Linked DNA regions of Nothobranchius furzeri. The protein of the gene in region 6 interacts with the protein of the main gene of each other region in a pairwise test. Links are inferred from orthologs where the notes say so. Each region holds a gene or a part of one and is shown on either strand. Other genes may lie near its edges. The genes, in order: mid2, paraneoplastic antigen Ma1-like, trim54, pomp, trim23 and psma1.

Region 1 (5,470 bases), on a different chromosome or scaffold from region 6:
CCAGGTCTCGGGTTCCAGAGCCAATGCAATGTGTCGAGGTGAGTCCGACTATATCTAGCCGGTACCGCTCAACCTCTGCCACAAGCTCCGGCTCCTTCCCCGCCAGCGAGGTGACGTTCCATGTCCCAAAAACTAGTTTTCTTGTCCGGGGATTGGACCGCCAAGGCTCCCGCCTTGGTCTGCCACCCGATTCGCATTGCACCGGACCCTTCATGTTCCTCCTGCAGGTGGTGGGTCCACAGTTGGACGAGCCCATGTATCCGGTTCGGGCTGGGCCCGGCCGGGCCCCATGGGCGAAAGCCCGGCCACCAGGCGCTCGCTCACGGGCCCCAACCCCAGGCCTGGCTCCAGGGTGGGACCCCGGTAACCCTCCGGGCCGGGTACTCCGACTCTTCATTTTAACCGCCATGAAAGATCCTTCGATGCAAGATGTTGGTGAAAATTAAAGCTACACTGGATGCAAACATATCTTGTGAATTTGCAGAAGCTTATTGAAACAACCTCACAGTGAATGGGTGCTGTAGTCAAAGCTAAAGGTTGTGCAACAAAGTATTAGGTTGTGCAACATTTTCTTTTGGTGGCAACTTTTTTTCCTTTAGCTCCAAAGGGCAGCAGTAGCTCAACAGGTTGAGCGGGTTGTCCAGTAATCGAAAGGTATCATGTTTGATCCCGGCTCTGGACAGAGAATTCTGCTGTTGTGTCCTTGGGCAAGACACTTAGCCCACCTTACCTGCTGGTGGTGGTCGGAGGGACCGGTGGCACCTGTTTTTGGCAGCCTCGCCTCTGTCAGTGCGCCCCAGGGCAGCTGTGGTTACATCGTAACTCATCACCATCAGTGTATGAATGTGTGTGTGAATGGATGAATGATACATTGTAGTGTAAAGCGCTTTGGAGTCCTTACTCTGAGAGGTGCTGTACAAGTGTGGGTCATTTATCATTTAAACTGTAATTCTATCTGTGTGTATTTTACTTTGTGTTTTTATGTGTTTTCATACCATGTCCTGATAATTGTAAAACACATTGAATTGCCTCTGTGTTTGAAATGTGCTCTAAATAAAGCTGCCTTGCCTTTTGCTGGGCAGTGTACTAATCAGCTAGTTGTTATTCTTCTGAGATTCTTATATTTTGTCCTCTTTATCAATTCGATAGGCAACGTTTAATTTTAACTGAAAAAATGGTTTCAAAAACTGTCAGAATTCCTGACAGTCTTCCCGTTCCGCTCTCTCCTTTTCCAGGTGAAGCTGTGACGCAGGGGCTATGGATGGTGATGATATTAGTGTATCACTTGTTTGGGTCTCAACCTCACTCATCTGTTACTGAATAGGTTCAAACATCGATGCTGTTTCTATGGAGCCACTTGACCCAGTAAAACTAACAGTTTTATTATAAAGATAAAGTTTCTTCTAGGACGCTTAAATCGGAATCGTGATCAGTTCGTTTCATCCAACTTTACAAGCCAAAAAATGTTTTTTTTCTTATTCACTTTATTTGTTCAACTGATCATTTTAAATTTGAAGCTATAATCCTGACAGCGACAGACGCTGAGGCGGGATGATGTGTGGAAGAAGAGTGTGGGTGCGCACGGCTCGGGTTTGTTGCGCGGCCACTGGAGCAGCGGTGAAACTGATCCCAGCTGCTACTGTTGGAGGGGGAGGAGGGGTGAGGAAATCTATTCCAGTCCCCTGTGGGTTGGTCACGTGCCCTCGTTTGGTTTGGGGGAACCGCGTCAGGAGGGAGAGGAGGAGGAAGCGCGCAGCTGCGCACAGCTGAGTTGGAAAAGCAACATCCTTCAGAAGCGGGTCCAGAAGATCCACATCAGTTGTTTTGTTGTTGTTTTGGGGCGTTGTCACGCGGTGTCTGCTGATACGCTGACACAACGCGTGTGATCACTGTGGCACTGCCTCGTTGAAACTTCTCTGCTCACGAAAACTACCATCCTGTCAGCGCCTGCCACAAGTCGACCTCCAGAAACACAGAGGGAGAGCTGTCACCGGGGACCGAGGTAGGCTTTCTGTCTCTTCCTATGGGGGCTCGGGGTGTTTGGGCTTGAGAGAACCGGAGCTGGACGGGTAAGCAGTTTGTGTGTGTGTGTGTGTGTGTTTGTGTGTGTGTGTGTGTGTGTGTGTGTGTGTTTGTGTGTGTGTGTGTGTGTGTGTGTGTGTGTGTGTGTGTGTGTGTGTGTGTGTGTGTGTGTGTGTGTGTGTGTGAGTGCACACAACTGATGCAGAAAAACGTCTCAGATTAATCAGCAAATGTACTCAAGCAAATTTCTCATTAGTGGTAAATTTTACATCTAGTAGTAATTATCTCTTTGCGCATGTGTTAGATAGTCTACAGTGATATTAGGATGTATTTAGCAACCTCTATTCATCGTTTTCCCCCAAGTGCCCTGCACTGATCAATAGTGACATTGTGTATTGATTGAGATGACATGACCTGAGCTGAACCCTGCTGTTAGCGCATTGTGGATGATACTTATTGACTTTTACTGTCAAAACTGTCAAATTTATGTTGTATTTTTATGTAAATAACAAAACTATAGATGTTATTGGATGATGAAGTAGTTGATCACTGAAATAGGATTTTTACCTTTTTGTGTTGGCTCCAGTGTTTTAACTGTTGAAGTAATGCTGCTGGTGACAGGAGACAAAAGCTGGTTTGAGTTTGGCCTCCAAAAAGCTGAGTCTAACATTCCCCCCCCCTCATTAATAATGCACCAATTTTAAACAATACAAATGCAGGGAAGCGGGGTCCAATGTCGAGTGTTGCTTCTCTCTATTTCTTATGTTTAGATGATGAATTCTCTATTAAATAAACTTTTCCTAATGTGAAGAGGACACATTCCATATGGGTGGTCAATGTCGATCAGCCATGGAGTAGAGCGTTGTGCTTAATGAACTGGTGTTTCGCCAGCTTCTAAAAAGTCATTTATGGGCCCGATCGTTCTTGCTCTCTTGTTGCTGGATGATCACAGCCTTTAATGAGACAGGTCTTTGTGCATGGGGCTTGACACTCTCTGAGACAAGGCTGCTAGTTGGGTGAATACAGCTGACACCCTCATCCGTCAGGCACCCACAGGGTGCTGCCTACTTTCTCACTCTATCCATTTACTGCCTCTTTCTCTCGTTTTCAGGCTTTCTTTCACTCCTGCGCTCTCCCACTGCACCCTCAGATGATAATTATTAAGACTTTATAATGATGACATGAGCAGTGAGGGTTTTTTCCCTTCTGTGGGGAGGAATGGGTGTTGGTGTCTACACGCTGGGATGATTATAGTTGTGACAGAGGGTTGGAAATCATTGCAGTTGAAGCATTGACTTCCTAGAATAGTTCAGCCAGGTATCTGTTTATCTCTGTGTTTGTTTCTGAAGCTGGAACTCTGTTCTCGGACAAAGCAAAGGAGGATCAGCCTTTTACCAAAGAAACATGTAAATATTAAACAATGTAAGATTTTAAAAAAGTACATGTTTTTATTTGTTTTGATTATTTGAGTTTTTGATTGTTAACTTGAGATGATAACGCTTAAAGAAAGATGCTTTACTACTTATAGGTTATGAATATGTAAAATACACACATAAAATACACACATAAAATACACAACAGCAGTAGCTCATGTGGTGGAGCGGGTTGTCCAGTAATAAGAAGGCTGCAGATTAAATCCCGGCTCTGACCAGAGATTGCTGCTGTTGTGTCCTTGGGCAAGACATTTAACCTGCCTTGCCTGCTGGTGGTGGTCAGAGGGACCGGTGGTGCTTGTGTTTGGCAGCCTCGCCTCCCTCAGTGAGCGCCAGGGTGGCTATGGCTATATTTTAGCTCATCGTCATCAGCGTGTGAATGGGTGAATGACTGATTGTGTTGTGAAGTACCTTGGGGGGTTGTAGAACCCTAAGAAGGTGCTAGGGTCTGTTTCTGAGCTGCAAGGCCTAGCTTGGTCCTTTGCAAGGCCAAGTGTCCACACTAGGGCTGGACAAAAGGATTATTTTTGTAATCAATTAATCTAGCGATACTTTTTTCGATGCTTCTAACTAATCTGTCAACTTAATTAGATTTCAATTCGATTAGATTATCGATTATTTCCCCATTATTTGACTTCTATAGCAATTTGAGTATTACTAATGTATGTATCTCAATGAAATAAACACACATTTCTTCATTTGAACACATTTTATTAAAAAAAATTCTAAAATAAAGTTGTTGTAGTAGTAGATGACGCACCTTATATCTATATGATCAACAATCTGGAGGAGCATGAAGTATAGAAAATAAGTTCAAACAGGATGAGGTATTACACTTTACAATCAAGAGTTCATTGTCATTTTGCTTTAGCAAGAACTTCAACAATGTTGGAATAGTGTCTACGACGGCCGTGACATTATCTTTAACATTTTTACTTTGGCCAATTTGCGCTCTCTCACATTTTCGGCTCTCGGCAACTCTCATAATCAGCATGTGCGCATTCAGAATTATTTTGCCAGCATGAGCCACAAATAAAAACCAACAAAACAGGTAACAGCTGCTGCTATTTGTTACCGCTATAGCAGCTTCAATGAGTTGAGGTTGAATGTTTTTCTCAGTGTGTGTGAGTGAGTGAATGAGACTGTGAGTGCGTGGGTCTGCTCGTGTGTGTGAGTGAGTGCATGTCTACGTGGGGGTGTTTGGATGGTAAATAACAGCGTTAAAATTTGAGAACTTACGATGTATTTTTGTTTGAAGGCACTGCTCCTGGATGCCGTTGTTTGATGTGCTGGTGAATGGCCGTCGTGGTTTCGTCATAGGCCATTTCCATTTTACAAAGCTGGTAAATGACTGAATCGCTTCCTTTTCTGTTGAAGTAGACCCATACTTTTGAACTGTGAGTGATTTTCGCCGACCGCCTCACTCATGTTGTCGCTACTCGCTGCTGCCGTGTTTGTTTTGAACGTGATGACGCATCGATGCACATTTTTTACGTGGACGTATTTTGGGATGAGTCGTCCCAGCCCTAGTCCACACCTCACCCTTCTTCGCAGTTATGGATGATGGACAGTAACGGAATGATCCATGTGCACTCCTCTCTCTCACTTATAACAAACGGTAGTGGAAAATTCTGTGCGCAGCCCCTCAACCCCACCCCAGCTGTCACGGAGGATGGACGGCAGCGGAACGATCCATGCGCAGCATAGTAGCTGGTTGCCTGCCCACCCGATTGCCGGCCATCATCACAATGGTATTTAGGGCTGCAGCTATCGAATATTTTTGTAATCGAGTACTCTATCGAATCTTTTTTTCGATTAATCGAGTACTCTAATAAATTACCCTTTTGTGTTTGTAAACCTTTATATCATATATTGATGAGCCAAGATGGCGCCGAGTATGGCTGCCTCGTCGCGAGCTCCACCAAGTTCCAACATTGCACGCTCCATACTGTACATTAATGCCACTGTTTTGCACATACCAACCTCTGTACATTTTACATCTTATTGTTTACTTT
Region 2 (3,938 bases), on a different chromosome or scaffold from region 6:
GATCGTCGCCTCCACTGGACCTTAAGGACTGAGTTTGGATTTTATCATAAACTGCCTGTATCCTCATGGAGCTGACCTTGTTCTCGTTACCGCTATCTCTGCACAACTGAAATAGGCGGCTGAACAGAAAAGCGTTGGTACCAACCACTACAGGAGTTTCACGACCTTGCGGGGGCTCTGGACAAACAAGAGCGAGGACATTAAGAGGACCCTTGACACCTGCTACATTCTCAGGGAACTCTATCTCTACTACTACATACCCATGGTAAGGGTAGGACTCAGCTGATAGGCCCCAGATGGCTAGATTGGAAATGGGCTGTATAGGGACTGTTGGTATATTGGCTCTATACCAATCCTCAAAGATAATGGTCACTGATGATCCTGAATCCATAAGACCATGGCATGAGATGTTATTGACCTTATTAGGAGCTATGGATGATGGACCAATAAGACCTTCCGGTATGTTGGCACTTTGAGTTGGAACGTTGGTAGTATTAACTCGAGCAACACACTGATCTTGAGCGTCGGTACTTTGACTTTGTCCATTTGGGCTTCCATGCACTTGATGAATAAGCTTTTTGATTACCTTTTGAGCATTTTCCGGAGCTGTACATTTGTTTGCAAAATGGCCATTTTCTCCACATCTGTAGCAGAAATTATCTGACTCTTTACTACTCTTTGGCTTAAAGGTAGATGACTTTGGACTGAAGTCCGCTTTGAACTTAGAATAGTGCCCTCTCTCTTTTGCATAATGTTGTGGCGTTACCGACATGACACTTAACTGTGTTTTCAGCTCTTTGACTTCTTTTCTTAACTGTTGCACTTCGCTGCTTGTGTCTGATTTCTCTTTTTTCTTTTCTCTGGACATCTTTTTGTGGCTTGACTCTGTAGAATGAGACTGCTTACTGAGCTCTTTCAGCTTTTCTTTTAGCACTTGAATTTCGGACTGAAACTCATGTTGCTGACAATCTCTGGAGTCTGTTTCACTTGCTACTTGCACTGCATGCACGTGCTGTCTCTGTGCTGGTTTTTTCAGTTTTTGTCTTGCAGCTTCACGCTCCTCTTCTTCTCGAATTTCTTTCAGTAGACTTAAAAATGTCGGGGGATCACTTCGCTTACCTCTAAGACCTAGATGAAGCAGCATGAAGTCTTATTCAGTAGCACCTTTAATGAGTTGCTCAAGCCTTGCTCGGTTGGCTTCATCTACTTGTAGGCCTCCTTTTTGCACGACTTTGTTCAGTAATCTTTCCAGTCTCAGCAAGAAGTTAGACAAGCACTCCCCTTGTCTTTGATGCATAGCTCTGAATGTGAGATACAGTTCCTCACCGGATTCTGCGGTACCAAAGGTACTTTCCAATGCCTGTATGCAGTCCACATGGTTTGCCAGGGGATTAGACATGCGCACTGCTTGAATGATCTCCAGCGCTGGCCCTTTGAGACTCTCAATAATTCTTCGGCGTTTCTCCTTATCTGAGCACTCATACTCATCAGTCATGAACTTTACTTGTTCTAGCCAGCTATCCAAGTTGTCTTCACCAGGTGGAGTAGGGTAGACTCCTGAGAAGATTCTAAAACGACGGTATAAATTGCTTTCATTTGGCTTGGACTGCAACACATCACCTACCACCCGAATGATTGACTCAGGGCTGCTGTTCCATGGAGTTCTAGGATCACATAGTCTTTGAACATCCTCCATTGTTTTCCCTTCATCACGCAGAAATCTGTCCAACTTCTCTGTGAATAGGTCGGAGTTCGTTTCTTGCTCTGCAACAACTATTGTCCATTTACTTCCATCCTTAAAGGAAATCAACTCTGGCGGAACTTTGGTAGGATCGACTGCTTCACAGCATTCACATAACATGGTCAGGGTTTGATTATTGGCATCAAACATTTTTCCTCTTACTCTTACCTTGCCCAAGGTTTTTACTTGTTCGAGTGTTTCTTCTACTGTGGATAGGTCCTCCTCTTCAGGCACTCCGACAACTAGAATGGCATGTGCCTGATCGAGCCCTTCACCTCTGCACCAATTTGCAAGATTCGGTTGTGAGACATCACTTTTAGTGGCCATAGTTTAACAAGTTACTTTGTAGGGGGAAAAAAAAGATTAATTGAAGTTGCTTTTTAGGACCAGTGTTACTCTTAGTTACTTTAAGGTTACAGCAGATTTAGTGGTAACTTAAAATGTAGATAAAACAACAACAATCCCAGCGGTGCCTCCAAATGTGTAGCACCCAACTCAAGTAGCTCTGGATTAACCCTCGGTTAAGATGGTGATAGTACTATGAGCGGGGCCCTGGGTACATTAACTAATCTTATTGGTAAACAGGAGAAACAATGACTAACCAGTTTTAACCTTTGTGAGCTCATTCACTGAAACCGTTGCAGGCCTGATCGTTGCTTGGGCTCGTTGGGCCAGAAAACAAACAAATGGCCGCTTCACTTGATAACCAGCAGAAAACAAAACACACGTGCTCAGGTCTACTCATGAATCCTTTGGGCTAAGTGCAAGGCAAACGGAGGGGCAGTCTTGGTTGGTGACCATGCGGCCTCCACTCGGCAAGGTGGTCGGAATTAGCGGCATACCCGGGCTGCTGAGTACACTGGAACAACCACACAGAACTCCTATCCACAGCAGAAGAGTCCAGAGAATTCCTCTCGGTCCACTGTGCATTAGAGATTACTATTTAGTTCCACAGAATAAGCTGTATCTTACGTACTCGACATACATAGCTATTACAGGCTCTAAAATGCTAACATGCTAACTCGCGATTAGCACCATACATTTTAAGTACTTATACATTCCGTTTAAGCTCAATGCTAACTCCACATTCAGTACTCACTCATCACAGGGTAAAACAGTCCATAACAGGAACGTAGACTCTGCATCCACGGCTATTATTTCACTATTCTTCCATTAGCTCTGGTACACAACCTCCTCCCGCAACGTGCTGCTGCCGACTCTCACTAGCTTCGCTGTTTTTTCTTTCTTTTGCCTCACTTAGCTCCCGCCTCCCTTACGTCTGATTGGACAGTAGGTTTACATCAACCAATGGGATAAAAGAAAATACAAGATTGACAACCCAAAATGAACTTGTAAAACAACTTGAAACAATACAAAGTTTTCCTTGTTTCACATTAGATAAACCTTTAGTTTCATTGTTACTTATAACTCCATGAACACTCAAATTATGATTGACTTCTATTTATTGTGATTTTAAACACATTTTTAACCATTTGAACTCCTTGTTTTTTCAAATATATGAAATATTTACAATAAAGGCTTTACACAATATTTATATCCTTTTAACCTGTAGGGTCTAGAATAGATATTTGAGACCAGGCTACACATGTACATCTGCACACATACACTTGCACACCCCTTTGTTTCCTTCTCTGCCTTATCTTTTGATTAATCTGTGTGTTGTGACCTTGTAACTGTAGTGTAAAAAAGACATTTCAATTACAAAAACACATCTAATTGTACTCACCGCACATGTGTCTGTTTTCATTGTGCTTTTTATTGGATCACATATCCTTCTGCAGTTTATTACAAAAGACTGCAGCTCATTTCATTCCAATGGCAGAACACAAAAGAAGAAATTTACGAAAATCTGGCAATACTTTCTCCCAGAAAACAACAAGAGGATTTAGGTGAAACTGATGAGGAAGCTCTGCCCCTTTTGGAGCCCTACAACCCAGGTAGACTTCTCAGTAGAAACATAGTTCAAAATTTAAACAGGTTACTGAAAGTTGGACTCCATACCAGCATAATCCTCATTCTCCTTTACGACTGCCTGCACCACCTCAGCTGCAGCTGACACAAAGCGTTCCAGCACAAAGGGTTGGCAGGATCCATGGAGGTGAACCTAGAATACCTGACTTCAAGGAAGGTGAGGATCCTAAGAGCTTCTTTGTACGATTTGAGCACATGGCTAAGA
Region 3 (4,705 bases), on a different chromosome or scaffold from region 6:
ACTTTGTGGAGCTTTTTAACCACGTGATGTTGTTGTTTAGTCATGAAAAAACAAACACATTTTAACTGCATTCATGCATTTCCCTGTTTCAGCTGCAAACATTGACTTTTACTTTGAAAATCTCGTGAAGCGTCAATGGAAACTAGGCCCTGCTCCTCTACTGGAAGCTAGTCTCTGGTCTGAAACCTGTCTCCTCTGGTCAGTGGAGGATGTGTGTCGTAGGTGACTCGTGTCATGTAGTAGACTTGGTAGTCCAGAGATTAGAGTGCTAGTATCCTGGTCTGAGCAGTAACTCGCCAGCATGATGTTTTCAACCCTTTATTGGTAAACTGTTTACAAAGTAAGGACTAATTTGTGTTTTTATTTTGTTTATTTAGCTGGTGTGAGTCCGTGAGAGGTGAGCAGAGTAAATCAGCTCAAATGCTGCTAGGAAACAACCAGCTTCAAAGATCTTTACACAAAATAATTAACTGAAAAAAATCAACAAAACTAAAATATTAAAACATGAAATCTGCTTCAGCTGGCTACATAAGTTACTGCCGCCGCCACCGGGATTCAAACCCACATCAGCACGCGGCGAAACTAGAATAAGAAGCTCACACTTGAACCCCTGGACTACCACAAAAGACATCACAGATGCTGTTGAAGGCACATCTTGGAAGCGCAGGTATGGGAGGAGCTTCACGGACACAAAGCTTTTTCCCGGGTATGCATTCAGGCTGACAGAAATAACTCATGTGAAAGATAAAAGGACATCTCAATAATAATATTTTATCATCTGCTGAGCTGACCTTTGCTCTATAGCGTGATGTGGGACCTTTAAGATGTGCTGAGGGAGTCTGCTGGATGAACCTCAGCTGCAATCCCAGCTCTGCTTTACATGCAGGAGCAGAAGTCCATGTTTCTCAGTGAGTCTGCGATGTCGTCCGTGTTGATGATGAAGTGGTCCATGCTCTCGTAACTGAGCTCCAGGCGCTCAAGGTTCCAGGTTCTCATCACCACTGACATCCTGTCAAAACACAGATTTCAAAATAAAACTCAAGCCCTGCAGCTGTTTAATATAAAAATGGGCTTAAACTTTAAACATTTTGTTTATTTTATTAGCCACTCTTGTTACTATAGCGATGTTTAAGGCTTTTGCACGATGAAAACTCAAATTAAACAATGAAAACCTCCACACTCGACTCATTACAGGTTATTTTTCTCTAAGATGAAACCGGTGTGGAACCCATAAATTCACTGATTAATAATAAATCTGTCAAAAGCCAATATTGACTCGATCCATCAGCCAGTGAACACACACAGATCCCCGGTCGTTCACACGAGGCGGCCGCCGATGGCAGAGCAGATTTGCTTGTTTTTTTTATGTCAACAGTTGGATCTGTTCAATAATTAATCAGAGGTGACACGTGTGAGAGCTGATGACTGGGCAGGTTTACTCAGTGCCAAAGCTGCAGCAACTAAAACCACAATCACCTTCAAGCTTTTCAGCTGAAGGTCAGATGAAATGGTGCGGTTCTAAATCACAGGAAATCTGCTTTAATAAACCAGTTTTTAAAAATCTGCGTGCAGACATGCTTTGGTGTTTATGATGCTAATTGATGGCCTCCATCGAAAAAAATGTGTACAGGAAGTTAAATACCTCCGAATGAGAGCCTCGCACCACACACACTCACCGTTCCAGCAGGACATCGGAGATCTGTGGATGGAGGAGAAGATTCCTTCAGTTATCTGTGTGAGCCACACCTGTAAGCTCTCCCCAACCCTCAACGGTTCGTGTGCGCTGAGTTCCCCAGAAGTTCCCAGCTTCATGAGGGTTAGGGTTTGACATTTACACACGTGTGAGCACACACCTCATACTTTACAGGTCTCGTTCACTAATGTCTGTTCTTGTAGAAACCTGATCTGTCGTGGTGAGTTGCACGTGCACCCTGAACGTTTTCCTCTACCCTAGTCACCTGCATCAGCAGCGGGGCAACAGTCGGGTCAGAGAAAGCCAATCTCTTCTATGTCACAGGGAAAATTCATATTCGTGATCCCGCCCACCTTGGTTTAGAACCACCCACAGGAAGGAGACAGCAGAGCGTCTCGGCGAGTAGAAGCTAACCGTTAGCATTAGCTAATCCAAGCATGACGGAACACGTTCAGCTTTGTGTTGGTGGAGACGTAACGTGAACGCTGCATTTTTACCAAAGAGCGAACAGAGGAAGAGTCACGTTGCTGTTAGCCAATCAGAGGCGAGACGTTTGAATATCATGAATATTAATAAGCTAAACTCATAACTTCTTTTCCTCCTTCTCTTTCAGTCTGAAATAAAACAAATAAGAGCATGACTTGTTTCCTCTCTGCACCTGATTCATGATGCAACAGGTGTGTTCCTCACCTGGATGAACGAAGCCATGTGAGGCTCGTCCATGGATCGAACGGCCGTCTCCACCAGTGCTACGGCGGTCTCCAGGTGGTCGCTGTGCCAGCTGATGAGGGATCGCACATGATTCAGTTTGTCATCCTGATGTTTGCTGATGAATCCAATCAGCTCGTGCTTTCTCTCCTCCAACGTTGCCATCAGGTCGTCGATTTGGTCAGCCAGGTTCTCCCTCTGTCTGTGAGCATTCTCCTGAAGGGAAAACGCAGACGAAGGACCTGAAAATGTACTTGACCACATGCAGAACATGTGGGTAGGATCAGTTAGGTAACAGGAAGGGGGGGGGGGGGTGTTTGTGGGTGTCACCTCGATGCTGCGGCAGATTTCCTCCATCTGAGAGATGGCCGCCTGGACTTGGTCGTTACTGGCAACCAAGACAGCAATCCCGTCACTCAGCTCCACCTGCACAGAGTCAACAAAGTAAAGTTCTCCCATGAGAACTGAAACTCTACCAAACCTGGTTGTTTTCTCTGTTTTTAATATTAACTTTATCTGTTTTAATAAAAAATGCTGGTTTGACAACCTCAACATTTAATCTCTGTGGTTCTGGGTTGGTCAGCTCCTCCAGGTCCGAGGTTCTGGATCTCCACCCGAAGAAGTTGGGTTTCTTCCTCTGGGTTTGGAACAGGTCATTGCCTCTATGAAGGAGCTAAAGTATCTTGCTCCTGAGCGATGGAGGAGAGCAGACCTCTGATTTGGTCTGTTGTGTCTGTCATCATGACCAAAACAAGATCCTGGATGGAAGACACCAGGATGAGTTTCCTTAGCTGCTCCTCCTCATCGGAGAGTCAGCTGAGGTGTTTGGGGCATCTGTCATGGATGGTTCTTGCTCGTCTTCCTCTGGAGGGTTTCTGGGCCCCTGGGAGGACAGCCTGAGGCAGACCTGGACCTTACCAGCAGGATTATAAATCCTCTCTCCTGGAAACATCTTGGAATTCTTCAGAAAGACCAGAAAGGGAAGTCTGGGTCAACCCAGCCTTGGACAACTTGTGGAAAACAGATAGAAATCACAACTTCTTTTCCAGTTTTGGTCATTTGAATAATTAAAACATTTTCATATAATTTTTTTTATAAATTATTGATTTCCTGTTTGGTAGATTTTTGTTGTTTTTTATTTTTTTATTTACTTTTACACACACACACACACACACACAAAACTAAATTCCACAAAATGTTTTACTTCCCCATTTCAAATTTGGACAAATCTGCAAAATAAATAATTAAATTAAATTAATCATTCATTTATATGCCTCCACTACTTAGTTAAAATAAAATAAAATATAATAAATCATTCATTTATATTAGCCTCCACGACTTAGTCTTGTTTCTAATTAGAAGCAAATAAATTCCATCTTTCAGTTCTTTTTAAAACACAGAAAAGGTTTATTTACCTGCAACGTTTCGTTTGCGGCTGCAAACATCATCAGGTAAACGTTTTGTGTGTTTTAAAAAGAACTGAAAGATGGAATTTGAAACTCAACGCAGCAAGAACACACCAGAGAAGCAAGTCAAGTTTAAAATGTGATTTCAATAATCATTTCTTGTATTTATATATAAAATCTGTGTTTACAGCCACAGCGGCCGACCTACATGAAGTAAATGGAGTTTATCTAACATTAAAATCATGAATGAGCTGAAAAACAACAGAAATCGTTTTACAGAACATGAAATGAAGCCTCACAGTCGACCACTCATCATCATCATCATCATCATCATCATCATCGTCGTCGTCCCTGATCCACATCCGATTCAAAAGCTCTTTATTATTTATCAGAAGACCAGATCCAACACAGACGACGGCCCTCTGACTGAGTCACCAGCGTTTCATCAGCCTCCAGTGTCTTCAGCTGGTTTCATCTACAGCTGACGCGCTGCTGGTGGAAGAAACTTTCACACTTCGGATCGGGCCAAATGAAATCACCAAACTGTGGTTGCTAGCTCTGCTCACGGCTGCAGAATCAACAAGCGTCTCATCTGCATTTCAGATGAGTGATTCAGAGACGGAGTGAGAGATGGCGATCCGGGCGCTGAAATGTCAACAAACCAGCTGCTCGATAACGATGCTGCCGCCGTCGTCTGCTGGTGCTCTTTGTCTTTCGGGGGTTTCTGGGTCAAAATTTCAGTGGAATCTAGAACGTTAAAGGCAGAGAGGATGGTGCTTTCTGGAGCATGCTTGAAATGCTACTGATACAACAAACAACACTTTTTTAAATGAATCACTTTGATGGCTTCTGAAAGTCCAATCTTGCTAAATCCTCATCCAATCATCGTGAACGTCCC
Region 4 (4,730 bases), on a different chromosome or scaffold from region 6:
TGCATAGATGATAAAATGTTTTGTTTTATTACATTTTCTGATCTAGTTTAATGAAAACTCAGTAAATTCTCTCTTATTTTTATCTATAATAATGTGAATTACTAAACATTGTATGATGAGAAATTAAAGTAACACCTTTTAAGAGTAGTTTTTCAGGCTAAATTGGGATTCCAAATTAATCAATTTTCACTGTTTTGTGAAAAATTTTAAAACATTTTAAAAATAACTAAAAGGAAAGGAAAATAAAAGACACGAGTGGTTAGGGCCCTGATTTTATTTAAAGGTGCAATAAGAATTCTACAATGAAATAAACACAAAACTAATGTCTCACTTTTGTTGGAAGGATTTCATTCTCAGCCAGTTGGGGGGTTGTCACTGCTTCTCCTCCCAAAACCAACAAAAGAGGTAGTAACTGTTTACACGTTGCATAAAAGACATGTAGTGATGTCAGCAAATGTAGCACGTCACGTGTGCGGCATCTGTCAGAAAGTTCGGCATAGGACCCTCAAGAGGGCAGCTCCCTCCTTCACCTATATGAACAGGAAACAGGCATAATCACATGATTTTGACCATCAAAATACTGGAATCATACAGAAAACAAGACTTGCAAGTCATCCTATTATGTAAATATTTACCTGCAGACCAAATTGTTTTTCAGACACCCACTCCAGGCTGATAACCTCGTGGCCACTTTGAATGTTGCACTGCAGGATACATAAGGTTCAGCAGAATCTTTCTTAGTTGTAATTTGATTTTTAACCCGAGCACAGAACAGTGCTGCAGAACCCACAGCGGCTCTACTTCTGAGTTGTTTCTGAACCATGAACGGTCTTTAAGTGCCTTCTAGTGGCCACACAACCAACCTACTGATGACCCTGCTTCATGTTGTGCTCTGAAACATTAATACATTTCTCTAAATACAAGAAGTTATGGTCATGTTGATCTAAATGTGTTACAAACCATGTTTACACAGAAAAATATATTTTTTTTTAAATTCCAGCGGGTTTTTTTTTACTATTTGACTGGCTGTATTAGATTCAGACAACGGAGTGTAAGGTCAAGCTAAGCAGATGAAGAACTACAGAAATGAAGTCACACCACAAGGAAGGTCATGAAATTTATTAGAAATAATCAAAATCCATCACACAAAAACAACCTTAAGTGGTGTACCACTCCTGCTTCTGTGTGTTTTACACCGACACACTGACTCACACCAGGCCCTGCTAGAAAAACAGATTTCTAATAACAATTTTCCAAAAGCTGAGGTTCTAACTTTGGTTTTGGAATGAAATATCAAATATATGCTGAAGAAGACAAAGTAAATATTTTGTGTAGGTTTTTATTTACAGGAGCTCTCACAACAATCCTAGTTTGTACTCCACCATCATGTGTGGCTCTCCCATCACTTCACTTTGGGCTGGATCTGCAAACACACAGCCATCATGATTAGTTAGGCTTCATGCTAATGTGTCTGCACACATGTTCACACACAGATCTGAGACTCAGACTTCAGCTGACGATATCATAAAGACTATTAGAATGCAGTAGTGTGATAAAAGAGTATATAACTAAATATTTATTTAAACCTGACCGTAAGGAGGTCAGAAAACAAAGTCTACAAAGAGGATGAGGCTCTCACCGCTGAGGATGTCCTCAAAGCCGATGGATTCATCGCTTCCTCGGAGCGTGTCGAGAGCCAAGTTGGAACTCGGTAAGAAAGGCAGACGCTGGATCTGGAAGGATAAAAAAACCAAAGCCTTAAAAACTGAAGCATGCATATGTGGGAGAGGTGATAGGAGGCGAAGCTACCTGTCGTGCTGCTCGGTACTCCATCTGCAGTTTGAGTGGAGCATGAAGACCTTGGATGTTCCTGAGTGTGGAGTAATTCATCTTATCCTGGTTAAGCTGGAACTACAAAGTATAAAACACAAAGATTAGTTAGCAGCCTGTAGAAACTCCATAATAGATAAAGTTAAAAAATTAACAAACGATTATTCACTGAGGAATCAGTCTATTGTAACATTACACAGATGACACACACATGCTGATATTTTAGCTGTGTTCAGTCTCATCCTGATTGACCTTTGGACAATGAAAAACCACGGTGATGTCCCTTCATATCAGAAAACAGCTGTAAAACACTACTTACATTTTTCTCTGACAGCTCCAGCGGGTGGCTGGGAAGAAGCTCATTCTTTACGCTCGTGAAGCTGTTAGACAAAAAATGAAAGATTTATTTCATTATCAAAATAACACCGACTTGATTGTCATTAAATAACTGTACACTAGTAGAATATTAGGTTTATATGAAAGCGGTAGTTTCTTACCCGCTGCGTAGAGAGTCCTGCATTCCGTAAGCACCCTGTGGACAAAGTCCAGCGACAGGGACACTGTCCTTCAGCTGGGAGTGGAGTCCTCGGCTATTCTGTAGCACACAAAATCGCATCATGACGTTTAAATCAGCTCATACTGAGCTAACACAAACAGCGACGCTAACATCAGCTAGACACCAGCACTAATAACCCAAAAGGCTAACTAGCATTAGCTCCGGTGACTAATCAAATTCAAAATGGGTGCGTTTCAAAGCGCATATTGAATATAATCTACAACATGGAGGGGTTAAGTACACTTATTTATAGTTAAATAGATGAAGTCAGCAGTTAGAAATCTGTAAAGGATAGTTTTAAATTTGGTGTTAAATAATGCTAGCTTACCATTGTGATTTTGTTCCTTGCGCTTTCTTTTTGACCCACCTAAATTTCCGTTTCCTGTAGTGTTTAGAACACGTGACATCCGGTGTAGAGCACAGGCCACAGACATCATACGAGTGAGGTGCAAAGGTGTTGTGCCGAAAAGAGCTTAGCTGCCGAAATTTGCATCCCCTATTGTAGGAAGCGCAAAAAATGTGACATGTTTATCTTTGCACTTCTTTAAAAAATGATGGTTTGTGGACAGATAAATGAAAGAAATTAGTGTTTCAATCAATCAATCAATCAAAGCTTTATTTATAAAGCGCCTTCTGCAACCCTGTCAGGAAGCCCAAAGCGCTGAACATTGTACAGTTGTATGTAAATATATTGGATAAATCAACAATAAAAGAAATTCAAATTACAAAATACAAATTACAAAATACAAAATGGAAATTACAAGACAGATGAAACATTCTGGTAAAGGACAAATGTGTGAAACACACATGTAGTGTTTGTAAATCTTTTTAAGTAATAAATCTTTAAAAGGTTAGCAATTTTGAGACACTTTGCTGCTTTGTTTTTAACCCACAACAATATACTTAAAGAGCAAGTCACCCCCTAGTATAGGGCTTGTGGTCACACGTGATTATGCATAGCATGCTGGGATGTGCCATGTTGGAAGGCTGACAAGTGTAAACACACCATGAAACAAACGGCACTGGTGCAGAGAAAAAGCTAATTTGGGTGAAAGAAAGTGTTAAAAACATCATTCCTCCCCCCCCCCCCAAAAAAGGATGCGGAATACACAGAGATAGGTTAAAAAAGACGTTGGGGACTGGTATGTGGTCAAAATGAGCATTATAAATGGTTTTGATCCACATGAAAGACCCAAGACTGGAGCACCAATGACATATTGTTGCCGCTGCAGTTCTGCATAACGGACATTTTCGGCTTACTTGTTTGCGGTGTGAGCAGATGTAGACGTCCGAATGAGAGGTAAACGTTTTATTTGCTGGTGTTTCTAGTAAAACAATCAAATTTATAATCTAACAGAAGAAGTATAAAAAGAGAAGTTGTGTTGTGTGTGAGAGCACCTGCATTAGCTCACCGGTATGTGAGTGTAGCCTCTGTGTGTGTGTTTCATGTGCATGTCGCGGTTGAAAGAAAGAAACGATGTATAAAATCATACACTATTTGTAACTTTCCAGAATGAAAATACTCCAGAAGGTGATGTTTGGTCGCCTTGTTGCTGCGATCCAAGCAAGCCAACGAGACTTTATGTTAGATATTTGGTCTCCGTGGTTTTGCCTCTAAGCAGGAAAACGGTGAAAAGTTAGCTTGTTTTCCACCTTTGTTACTGGCGATCAAGTGTGTCACCCCACAACAAAGCAATGATTTACTAGAGTTGTGTAATATAACCGATCAACTGAATAATAGAGTAATTTAAGGTGCAAGAACGAGATTGAGGGTGTTGTTTACAGTAGTAACAAGCAACAAATAAAGACTCACACGCCTCCAACAGGACAGGTGCACAACAGTGACAGTTTGAGGCAGATAATTGAAAATTTAACTAAAATGCCCTAAAGTTTTAAATTATTGACTACACGTGTCTGCAGTACGATTAGACACGCATTTATATAGTTTATCAGAAAAAAAAGTTGATTTGGGGGTGACACTTCAAGCAAGCACAAAAAAAATCATTTCAAAATACATTAGTCTCAAACGTATGGTGTGATAATTAATATAAATAAATAAATAAAAATATAAAATTCCAACAAGTAGACTAGAAATGTCAATAGTGATCTCACGTGCGTCGGTTGTTTGAACCATGGGCTGCACAAAAATTTTGATTGAGGCATATATTATGTCCATGGAGGCGACCTACCCACTATGGCGGTGGCGATGTTACGCTGCTGTCCAGCGTCCAATGGCGCATCTACGTATTCATGTCTATGGCACAGGCAGCCACAGAAGTTAAAATGCGAAATTGAAACTGAAAATGATTATCGACAGCCACTCCGTTGATTTTCTGGCAGTAGT
Region 5 (5,296 bases), on a different chromosome or scaffold from region 6:
TTTAGGCAAAATTTAGACACAAACTGAGGACAATATTTCCTGACATACAGGGTTTATTTAGTTGTGTGGAAATGTAACACATTTAAAAAAATACCGCGATAATACCGAAAACCGTGGTAATTTTGGTCACAATAACCGTGAGGTTAAATTTTCACACCGTGACAACCCTAATTAGCATGAGGAAGAACAAAAACACATTAAAATAGTTTTGAATGGAAATGTTAAACCACAACAAATTGAATTAGTTTTTTTAATTAACCATGACTTGTTTTCTTCTGTTATTTTAATGTAATCATAAATGGGATTAGAAACCCTAACTGGCTTTTGCTAAATTACACACTTCTAAGTACCATTGACTAACATAGCAGGCATTAGTGATGGTCGGGTGACTCATATGATGAAAATAATAATAATAATTTATACTTTTTTATCTTTCTGTTGGACATTCTCTGCATTTGACCCGTACCTGAGGCTTAGTGGGCTGAGATCGAACGGCTCACCTTTTGATCTACCCCCATTCCGTCATGGCCGCCCATATCTGCTTCTTGTTGCTGACTAGTTATTTATTGCGTATCTTCTGTTTTGACAAGTGAACCGATCAGCAGTGACAAAAATAAATATTTTATTACTGTAACTATTTTATCAAGTTGAAATGGGTACACTAGAAACTACTGATCACAAAACCATTTCACCCAATATAAATTGATGGTGGCTCAGGGGTTAGTTCACCCGGTAACTGGTGGGTCATCATCAGTGTGAATGGGTGAATTATTGACTGCAGTGTAACGCACTTTTGGAGTCCCTGACTTAGAAAAGCACAGTACAAGTGCGATTTTTAACTGCATCAGCAAGAGAATCCCTCCATGCTGGAGTAACACTTGAAGTTCAAAACTAAAGCCCAGTTTTTACACACTGACCTTTGACCTCGGTGGGTGCTGGGGTGGTGTTTGTTGTGTGGGAGACAACTGAAGCCTCTATGCAGCTGTCGGCTACTTTCTGTCCTGCACACATTGCCTTCAGGGTCTGGAAGACCGCTTGGGGAGCCACGTTCATTTTCAGGAGGTCCACTATGATCCTACAGGAGGGCAGAAACGAATCCTTTACTCATTCGCCGCGTGAAGAACCACATTTCTACCGGTCTCGGTTCACTCACTTAAAGACTTCTTGATCCACAGTGATGCCTGCAGCCTGAGTCAGTTCAAACAGCTCACTTTCTTCAGCACTCAGGATTTTCTTCTTCTTTATGGCATATTTCTGCACGTTTGCTGTGACCACCAGAGCAGGGAAGTCAGGAGCAGATGGCCCCGTCTGCTGTGTTGGCTGAGACATATCAAGTCCACCTGAGTGGTGAGAAAATGGCATTTATGCGCGAACATAAAACGTTAGCCGCGCAGAATAAACATATGGCGAAATTCAACCGCTCACTGAAAGGTAAGTAAACATAAAAACAGGTTATAAACAACAAAAAATACGTTTTTAATCAAACATGTGTTTATACCGTTAAAGCCGCAGCTTTTAGCGTGTAGAATCCCGCTTATATCCACAACTCCTCTCTGTAAACACGGCGCGTAGAAAATGCGTCATCATCACGGAACGTTCACGCAGCATGATGGGACATGTAGTTAGAAGCCTGTGGTTTGTTCTCGATAAATGTATTGAACGAGTAAATAAACATTAAAGTTGAGCCAGTTAAGCAAAGCATTAGATTTATATAACAAATAAAAAAAGCTGAAGCTGCTTGGTGGTCGTTTCAACCACGGACTTATATGGTTTAAAGGGTAAAAAGTAAAGACAATTAAAAGAATGAAATTACAGAGTCCTCTGACTCTGAAAGGCGCTATACAAATGCGGGTCATTTATCGGTTGTTTATCACTATGCGATTTATTTAGTGAACGTGGGTTACAAAATTACTACAAAAAGTATACCAAAATTGACACCGCGGAAGTTGTTGAGGGATTATCCTCTCACGCATGCTCAGTTCTCTCGCTCGCCGTCGTCGAAGAATGGCCGCCGCTGCAGCAGGAATAAACAAGCAGGGCGCAGGAGCGACGATGGAGACCTGTCTCCGGCACGGGAGGGGAGCCAGTGGAAGCACCGTGAAGGTCGTAAACATGTCACAAATTTCCGCAGCTAGGTCGTTATTGCTGTGAACATATTATTTGGTTAGCTTTGGTGATAAATGTCCGCTGGTTCAGACTTGCTTGATGTATTTCTAGTTGGAAGCTAAGGCTGCTGCGTTGGCGTTGGTCGCAGTGGGTGCCAAATACGGATTTTGACAGTGTAATAGCTGTGCAAACGCGTTTCATCATGTTATTGTAGCCGTTTATGCATTCCAGAAGACTCGTTTGTCATTAAGAAGCGTTTGCTGCGAGCTAGCACCAGCTCGAAAACCGCCGGTTGGCATTAGCACAAGTTTCTGATCGCTGCAGCCTTATAAACAAAAACAAGCAATCAGCTAGTCAGTGCATTATAAGGGTGTACAGTAGCAGCTGTTGGAAGAATTAATTTTAGTTTACAGAATAAAATGTGGGCAAAGCGTCTCGTGATGTTTACCTTGGGAGTCACTATGTCAAAGTGACTGCAACACCCTGGGATTTTTTTATCTCATCACTATTTTTCAAGTACCTCTGCTTTTCTGCATCAAGTCAAACCTAAAGTTACAAATTAAAATTCCTTACAAGTGTGCGTGATCCTGAGTGTGGAAGTCACCTTGCAGCAGATACAGACAGACAGACACATAGACAGGCAGTGTTCAAGCTGTGCTGTCACTTGCAGGTGCTGGAGTGTGGTGTGTGTGAGGACGTCTTCTCCCTCCAAGGTGACAAGGTCCCCCGTCTTCTGCTCTGTGGCCACACCGTGTGCCACGACTGTCTCACCCGGTTGCCCCTCCACGGCAGAGCGGTCCGCTGCCCCTTTGACCGACAGGTCACCGAGCTGGGTGAGTGAAGGACATAACATAATTTGGCCTTCGAAGAAGGATGCAGATTTGCAACATTTGGTAGAATTTTATTGAACTGAACAAATTCTGAGGATGCCTGGGAAAATGACAAAAATATTTCTTCAATCACTAAAAACAAACAACTATTCATCTCAGAAGTAACATAACATCCAAGTGGTATTCCTGACTGAAATTATCTTGGAGTGGCAAAGCACAGAGAATACACAGTCATCATAAGATGCAGGGTGTACTTTACTGGTTCTTGGACGGCAGATGCAAATATGCTGTTAGGCTGCAGAGAAAAGAGCTCACAATCGAAAACAGTCTAATGTAGGGAAATAAAACATGAACACATTTCAGATCCAGACCTTCCTTCGTAGTAGGTTTGATTTGACTTTGTCCTAAAACTTTGTGTAGTCTTGCAGTATTTGTTTACATCAACATCTCCGTTATTTAAAGTCATGCATTGGTGCTGACACTGGAAAGTGAAACTCAATTCAGTTTATTTATAAAGCGTCAAATAACGACAAGTCGTCTTGGTGCACTTCACAAAGTAAAACATAGGGATGTCCCATTCCGATATCGGAGGTCATTCCATATCAGCCCAAAAACACTGTATCGGATTATATCGGATGGCATCAAAAGTCTCCTATAAAAGCGGTTCGTTAAGGTTCACATTTTTGCAACTGTAGCTGCCAGATGAGCAGCTGATGGCAATGACTCTTAATTGGCTCACAGATTTTATATAAGCCACACCCTTCCAGAGAAAATGGCTTGGGTTAAGTTGTTTGTAGAGAAGATAACACTTTTGAAGTGTTGAAATTATGTCTTTGGTCTAAATTCACCTCAGCTGCACAGTGCCGACTGCATCCCCACGTAAGTTTTGCTGTATTGACGCTTTTGTTTGGGTTATTACTTCGACACTCTATAGTCATTGTTTGTTATTCTTGTCCATCCCCACTCAAATCTACAGATAAAGCAGCTTTAAGGACTTATTGGTTTGTTTAGCATCCTTGGCCAGTGGAGCAAGGTAAATGTGAGAATATAATTCATTTCTGTTATGACATCGAAGTTGTGTTCACCTTTTATTTATGCTTTGTATATCTCTAAACAGTTTTCACAGTGCAACTCATGGAGTGAAGTCCAAGGCATTGGACCAGAGAAACGAATAAAAGTTTATGCACCCGTCGAGGCTCTCCGTTCTTTTCTTCATGGTGCCAGGGGCAGCTACAGCAACCAATGGTTACAAAAGAAATTTTTCATACTTATTGTTATTGGCTGTTGTTCTCCAGTTGAGTAATATCAGTTGATCAAGCCTTTCATACATTCCACATTAGGAAACGGGTAAAAGTATGATTTGTGCTGATATCGTATCAGATTGATATCTGTAACGGTCAACACTGAAGGCTGCAACATCGATATCGTATCGGAAGTGAAAAAGTCGTATTGGGACATCGCTAAAAATATCCAATTGACGTGCATGAGTTTTAGACCAATAATGAAATTCAGCAAGACAATAATTTTGTCCATTTAGCGTCTCTCCATGTGTGTGGAAATCATGACTGTACGGTGCTGGAAAATCTTGAAAACTCTGAAGGTGGTTGAATTGAATCTGGACAAAGGTGTAAATGTTCTCTGTTGCACTTGTAGATTTTTCCTTCAGTACCTTCTAAGCAGAGCTCCACTCGATTCAGCCCAGTTTCACTAGTAACGGGTACCAGGTCGCTGCTCCTTTATTTGTCTGCTTCAAAGTGGTTCCAAGTGTACCAAACTGGGACGAAAAACGCAACGTCAGAGGACTGCCAGTCACTGATTGGCTGGGGGAGGAAGCATTGGATGCTCTGGAGTGTTTCACCTTCCTGCTCACAGAGTGAAGGACAAAGGGAGTTTAACCCTTTTCCCAACATTGCTACTCAGCCAAAAGCGGCTCGGAACAGCCAGGGTTAGCACAGCTCCCCTCACTGTAGTTGGTTTTCTCCGCCAACTCTGTGATGAAAAGTGGGTGCACTCCTCATACCAGGTCAGTAGGTATGGGGAGAAAAAAGTCTCAAAAGATTTGTGTGTGTGTGTGTGTGTGTGTGTGTGTGTGTGTGTGTGTGTGTGTGTGTGTGTGTGTGTGTGTGTGTGTGTGTGTGTGTGTGTGTGTGTGTGTGTGTGTGTGTGTGTGTGTGTGTGTGTGTGTGTGTGTGTGTGTGTGTGTGTGTGGACCAGTATATCAGGCCGATATCTACCATTTTTTTATACATCAGCATCAGACAATATTTGTCCTTAGTAAAGCTAATTTAACGTCAGGCACATCCTTGGGCAGCCCAGTGTCGTGGCAGAATTTAATTTAATTTAAATGTATTTTTACATTG
Region 6 (5,384 bases):
ATTGTCTGTGGCAGATCCAAACACATTCCAGTCTGTTGTGTCCAAACACACGCGAAGCTCCTCCACAGCCTCGCAGGTCCACTTGTTAGTAGTTCTCACTGCAGGCTTGGAGAGCTTCAGCCTCTGCCTATATGAGGGGATGAGGTGAATCATGGCATGGTCTGAGAAGCCGAGGGCAGCTCGCTGCACGGCCCGATAAGCTCCACTAACTGTGGTGTAGCAGTGGTCCAGCGTGTTCTGCTCTCTTGTCGGGCATTTAACAAACTGTTTGTACTTAGGCAATTCCTGGCTCAGATTTCCCTTGTTAAAGTCGCTGAGGATAATAACTAGAGAGTCCGGAAAGGTCTGTTCCACACTTAGGATCTGCTCCGCGAGCGCACGTTGCGCTTCGTGCACGTCCGCGCACGGCGGGATGTAAACAGCGGCCAGAATGAATGAAGCGAACTCACGTGGGGAGTAGAATGGCTTACAGTTTTATATTATTAAACTCACTTTAACGAATGGCAACAGACTCCCGGATCCCTGTGGCATTACGGAATGGGTGGAAGATGTAGGTGCGTGGCCAGATATCCAGTGGCCCGATATATGTATACGTTTTTAGTGGAGAGGCCCAGTAAGTACACACGTGAGAAGCTATGGGCATACAAATCGTTAGCAGCATACAACTATGTTGTCTGTGGCCACGTACAGAAAGTAAAATATCACGACATAGACTCTGAGTTTTGCGTCTTGAAGGCAGAAGTCCTTCCTAGCCAAAGACAAGGACACAAGACTGCTATGTACGAGGCTTGGGTCATAGTAAACAAACCAGAGAACTACGTCTTCACAGCCAACTGTACCTGCATGGCAGGGTGAGTATAGCATAGGTTTCTTTTTTTAGCGTGCTCAGAGTACATTCGTGTTAATTTTAGAGAAATAGAGAAAGCGTATAAATTTGTTTAATTCTGTCATTTTGATGTTCCAGACTTGGGTCATGCTGCAGCCACGCAGCAGCAATTTTATTCAGAGTTGAGCTTTGTGTTAGGATGGGAAAAACAGAAAAAGGCTGCAGTTACCCTTTTGATGGCCTGCAGCCACAGACGCCTCCGATTTTGTTGAAATGGATGTGCTCCCTTCGGAATTCTGTAAAGTTTCAGTCCACTGCTTGAAGAGAAGCGATTCTGGCATCCATACACGCAACAACCCGACATGTTTATGTGCTCAGAACTTCAAAACAAAGGGTTTAAAACGCTGTTTTAGTATCGAGTGTGAATGAGAAAGCCTTCACTCTCGTTGCCAGGCTGCGCGCGCAACTTTTGATGACGTAGGTAGTAAAAGGGTCTATATTGTGGATGAAAAAAGGAATGGTCTGACAGCAGAAAGAGCAGAAATGCTTATATTCCTCAGAAAGAACCTGTCATTGTTTAAGTGAGATTAGATGAACAACATTTAAGTACCTCACGCATTTACATTTTTTTTCAAGAATAGTTCCAGACTCTGACAAGATTGTTAACTTTATCTAGGTCACCTGCAATGCAAAATCTCCAATGCTTGAATTGTACTTTTCAGATGCACACTGTTGCTGTTTGTTTACATTGCACTTTTCTTTAATTCAAAATGTTTAACATTTGAAAACTTTTGTTTTTTTTACTGCTACATGAGCAAAGACTTACTGAATTTGTCTCAGATGCACTTTTTTTTGATAGTGTGATTTTATACTTGAAAATTACATTTTTGATACTACAAAAGACAGTGAACTTAATTTGTGGGGATTGGATAAAGCCCTCTATTTTATTTGGAGTAGTTTTATGGAAGTTTACCCTTTTCAATTCATATTTGACAATTTAAAAATGTGTTACTGCCTAGTGTGATTATTTGGACCTGGGCTGTTTAGTTCAATTGAAAGGGTTTGTTTCTTTGATTGTGCATAATGCACTTGCGTCCAGTAACCCTGCCTTGAAATTGAATAAATTTCAATTTGAAACATTAGTTGCTTTTTTATTTTTATTTTAGGATAGACAATTAGTTGTTTTATGACCTCGCTTATCTCAACTTATCTTTTGGGACATGGTGCTGGGCTCTTACTTGTAGGGCTTTCTCTCAATTACATATCATTCTTGTAGAAAAGAGTTTATTATAGCCTTATAAAATCAACCATAATAATAATCATAATGACATTAAAACAAATATTCCTCTAGTATCGAAATAATATCGGTATCGGTAGATATTCAAATTCAGTTATCGGAATCGGAAGTGAAAAAATGTGGATCGATGCATCCCTAGTTTCAGGCTGAGTAGTGCTCCTACAAAACTAGCTATAGAGTCATGCTGCATCACGTAAAGTTTGGTATTCTTGACAACCATAAACTTTACCTTCATCCTATGATAATTCTAGTTTTCCTTGTGGATGGGAATCAGCAAAAGGCCAGCATTTTCAACAACACAGAAACTTGTAAATGTCAATAAGAGACCACGTTCAGGTCCCTTACTGACATCAAGTGAGAGGAATCTAGACTGGTGACAGTTTCAGCAGTGAGATGTACCTTTAGTGCAACCAGGACTGCATGTGTTTTGGATTTCAGTCCTACAGTTGCAGATCCTTGCTTCACCGCCTCCATGGCATATTCGATCTGATGGATCCGCCCCTGTGAGTGCACAAAAACGAGCATAAGCAACTTGTGTGACATCTACACTTGGTGACTCATGCTGAGGAAAACTTACCTGTGGGCTCCATACTGTCACATCATTGTCGTACTGGTTGCGGAACTACAGATAAAGAAAAACAAATCCAAAATTAGATTTAGAAGTCTTACATTACAGAATAATCATCAATGGTTGAACTTACATAATCGTCTTGCATTTTATTAACTGTTTTCTCACGTATTTCTTTGACGCGATAAGTTAACAATGTCCGTGCCTGTAGGTCTACAGCCAGGTCTTCTCTACCCAGAGGTTTTAAATTACTTTAATGAATAAATAACTGATAATCTCGCGATTTTGCTAAGCTCCCTCCGAACCACAAGCAGCCTTCAGACTGGCTGAGGTCATATTCCTGCTCGATTTCTGTGTACCAATTGTTTAGTAAAATGCTGACATTAGAAATACTTGTGGATCAATTCGTAGCTATCTTAGCTTTACCACACGGACAGACAAAATAAGTCACTATCAAAATGAACGGTGAGCTGAGAAACCGAAAGCACAGCCTACCCCGAGCATTGCTAAGGCTAACTTAGAAGCTAATGTTAGCTAACAATTAGTGTTAGCCTGCTGCCGGCTTTGGACTCATCTAAATAAGTAATGTTGTCATATCGATTACAATTTCGGGGGTCATTACGTATTATTCAATGTAACACAGTAAAGCAAACACACTGGTTTATGCGAGTAGGCAGTCATAATCAGTGTAGCGCCAACAGTTTCCAAGGCTGTTTTGCTTACTCACAATACAGACAAAACTAAGCTAGTTATGTTAGCTCACACCGACTAAATTGATCCTCTAAATGATAAATGAACAGGCATAACGGTAAACTAACTATTTTATTTTTGTGTAAATAATGTATAATTTTAAACTGGCAAGACTAAATGAAATTTCATTCAAACCTACCATTTCTGATTAGGAGTGTGCGATGCGGTCCACACTTCTCGATTCTCGATTTCTTTTCCTGGGCGTTACGTCAGGGAAAAGCAGCAGAGCCCTGATTTCAAATCTCTGATCGACTGAGTGAACAAACGTTATTTATTTATTTATTTATTTATTTATTTATTTATTTATTTATGAAAATAAAATTTAAAAGACACACTTCTCCTTAGGGCTTTATTTGACTTTCAATTTTTTTAACACTTGCACATATTATTATTATTATTATTATTATTATTATTATTATTATTGATGATGATGATGATGATGATGATGATGATGATGATGATGTTGTTTAACCACCAAATAATTGCAGCCACTGCTGCAACTCCCCACTCCCCACAGGAATTGGTCAAATGTGGAGAAGCAATTTCACCAATGTGTGATGACTAATGGGACTTTAAGAATTACAAACATTTTAATTAAGAATCAATCTATTTTAGTATAGAAATTTGTTACATGCAAGTGACTGCCACATTTGACTGAAAAGTCTATGAGACCAAGATAGAGATAAGAAAGTTTATGAAAATTAATTAGAGAAAGAAAAGGAGATGTAGGTATTCGAGTCCCACTAGTTGTCACACTGGTGTGGGAAAGGTGTTCTCTGCATTTGATCCATCTCCTTGGGGAGCAGTGAGCTGCAGACATGGCTGCACTCGGGACTCATTTGGTGGTTTAACCCTTTTTTTAAGGTCTTTGGTATGGCCCAAACATATTTGAACCAGGGATTTGAACTCACCATTCCCCAGGCTCAGGGTAGACCCTCATACCACTAGGCCCCTGAGTCAATTGCAACTTGTGGTTACACAAACAGCACAACCAATGTATTAATCATATATTTATTTACCAAAAATAACCTAAACTAAAATGTAAAAATAATGTGGAAAAAATGACCTCATGCAGGCTTTTTTTAAACTTTTTTTTATTTCGTTTATTTATTTGTAATAATTTTTTTTAAATTTACATTTATTTTTGTTTTATCATCTTTATTTGTTGTTTGTACATTGACTCTGTTGTCTTTCTTTTTTTATTGATTGTAAAGAAAGAGGACCTGCTCGAAAATGAGATGGCTCATCTCAAGCGGTTTACATCCTCATAAAATTTAAGTCAAAATAAATAAATATATGTAGTTTTTCTGAACATTTTGCGAAGGTTTTTTCTCCTCATCACTACAGAAACCTCTCATCTTTACACATGCAGTGATGGTGCTTGAACACTAGGTGGAAGCAGTAAATGAGGAAATCCAACAGATTTTACCAAATTGGTGACACTCAAAAACATGCGTCACTGACTGCTGTTACAGCAGAAACCAGTGGGAAGGAGAACTAGCTGAACCAAGACAAAATGAGAGATATTGTACCCACATTTGTCCATTTTTGGTCTCTCACTGTGTTCACACCTATTTAATCTACACTCAGGCTTTACTTATCCCAACAATATTCAGATTTTTACATAAACAAGGATGAGAAATAGAGCTAAAGCACAACAGGGTCTAGGGGGCGCTATAGCTACCCCTGGATTAGTCATAGCACCCCCAAGTAAATATTATATATTTTTTTACAATTTAATTTAAATTTCACGTGTGGATGTGATAATATTTAACATACAAAACAAAAATAATCAGTAAATTACCATATGGTTAGTAAAAACTTAAACCAAAACAGGAAACTGATGTAAACCTTTGACCTCATTTTCCACCTGTGAACGAGTGAAAGGTAGAGCTAGCGGTAAAATGGATCGGTTTTTGTTGCCCACATTTCCACGGGTTCAG

What was found.
Region 1: the proteins of psma1 (region 6) and mid2 interact in binary tests that used the Homo sapiens proteins (3 or more experiments, as listed by UniProt). The two-hybrid records come from large-scale screens. The link is inferred for Nothobranchius furzeri from reciprocal best matches to the Homo sapiens genes PSMA1 and MID2.
Region 2: the proteins of psma1 (region 6) and paraneoplastic antigen Ma1-like interact in binary tests that used the Homo sapiens proteins (3 or more experiments, as listed by UniProt). The two-hybrid records come from large-scale screens. The link is inferred for Nothobranchius furzeri from reciprocal best matches to the Homo sapiens genes PSMA1 and PNMA1.
Region 3: the proteins of psma1 (region 6) and trim54 interact in binary tests that used the Homo sapiens proteins (3 or more experiments, as listed by UniProt). The link is inferred for Nothobranchius furzeri from reciprocal best matches to the Homo sapiens genes PSMA1 and TRIM54.
Region 4: the proteins of psma1 (region 6) and pomp interact in a two-hybrid assay, tested with the Homo sapiens proteins (2 studies listed by BioGRID, with this or other methods). The link is inferred for Nothobranchius furzeri from reciprocal best matches to the Homo sapiens genes PSMA1 and POMP.
Region 5: the proteins of psma1 (region 6) and trim23 interact in binary tests that used the Homo sapiens proteins (3 or more experiments, as listed by UniProt). The link is inferred for Nothobranchius furzeri from reciprocal best matches to the Homo sapiens genes PSMA1 and TRIM23.

Annotation. Positions count from the first base shown.
Region 1 is NC_091741.1:89,375,459-89,380,928, reverse strand, and holds the start of mid2 (probable E3 ubiquitin-protein ligase MID2), read left to right. Parts: upstream 1-1,865; 5' UTR 1,866-2,002; intron 2,003-5,470. UniProt on the Homo sapiens protein: E3 ubiquitin ligase that plays a role in microtubule stabilization. Mediates the 'Lys-48'-linked polyubiquitination of LRRK2 to drive its localization to microtubules and its proteasomal degradation in neurons.
Region 2 is NC_091745.1:26,673,735-26,677,672, forward strand, and holds paraneoplastic antigen Ma1-like, read right to left. Parts: upstream 2,069-3,938; coding exon 1,151-2,068; downstream 1-1,150.
Region 3 is NC_091742.1:14,270,130-14,274,834, reverse strand, and holds part of trim54 (tripartite motif-containing protein 54), read right to left. Parts: intron 2,828-4,705; coding exon 2,732-2,827; intron 2,618-2,731; coding exon 2,384-2,617; intron 1,700-2,383; coding exon 1,677-1,699; intron 1,010-1,676; coding exon 877-1,009; 3' UTR 1-876. UniProt on the Homo sapiens protein: May bind and stabilize microtubules during myotubes formation.
Region 4 is NC_091747.1:41,727,282-41,732,011, forward strand, and holds pomp (proteasome maturation protein), read right to left. Parts: upstream 2,831-4,730; 5' UTR 2,718-2,830; coding exon 2,715-2,717; intron 2,426-2,714; coding exon 2,328-2,425; intron 2,211-2,327; coding exon 2,150-2,210; intron 1,912-2,149; coding exon 1,810-1,911; intron 1,734-1,809; coding exon 1,640-1,733; intron 1,424-1,639; coding exon 1,356-1,423; 3' UTR 1,105-1,355; downstream 1-1,104. UniProt on the Homo sapiens protein: Molecular chaperone essential for the assembly of standard proteasomes and immunoproteasomes. Degraded after completion of proteasome maturation. Mediates the association of 20S preproteasome with the endoplasmic reticulum.
Region 5 is NC_091746.1:63,287,029-63,292,324, reverse strand, and holds the start of trim23 (E3 ubiquitin-protein ligase TRIM23), read left to right. Parts: upstream 1-1,956; 5' UTR 1,957-1,971; coding exon 1,972-2,103; intron 2,104-2,776; coding exon 2,777-2,939; intron 2,940-5,296. Other genes in the region: mzt2b (mitotic-spindle organizing protein 2), read right to left, coding at 918-1,075, 1,154-1,329.
Region 6 is NC_091744.1:46,382,647-46,388,030, reverse strand, and holds the start of psma1 (proteasome subunit alpha type-1), read right to left. Parts: upstream 3,696-5,384; 5' UTR 3,584-3,695; coding exon 3,581-3,583; intron 2,746-3,580; coding exon 2,701-2,745; intron 2,625-2,700; coding exon 2,523-2,624; intron 1-2,522. UniProt on the Homo sapiens protein: Component of the 20S core proteasome complex involved in the proteolytic degradation of most intracellular proteins. This complex plays numerous essential roles within the cell by associating with different regulatory particles.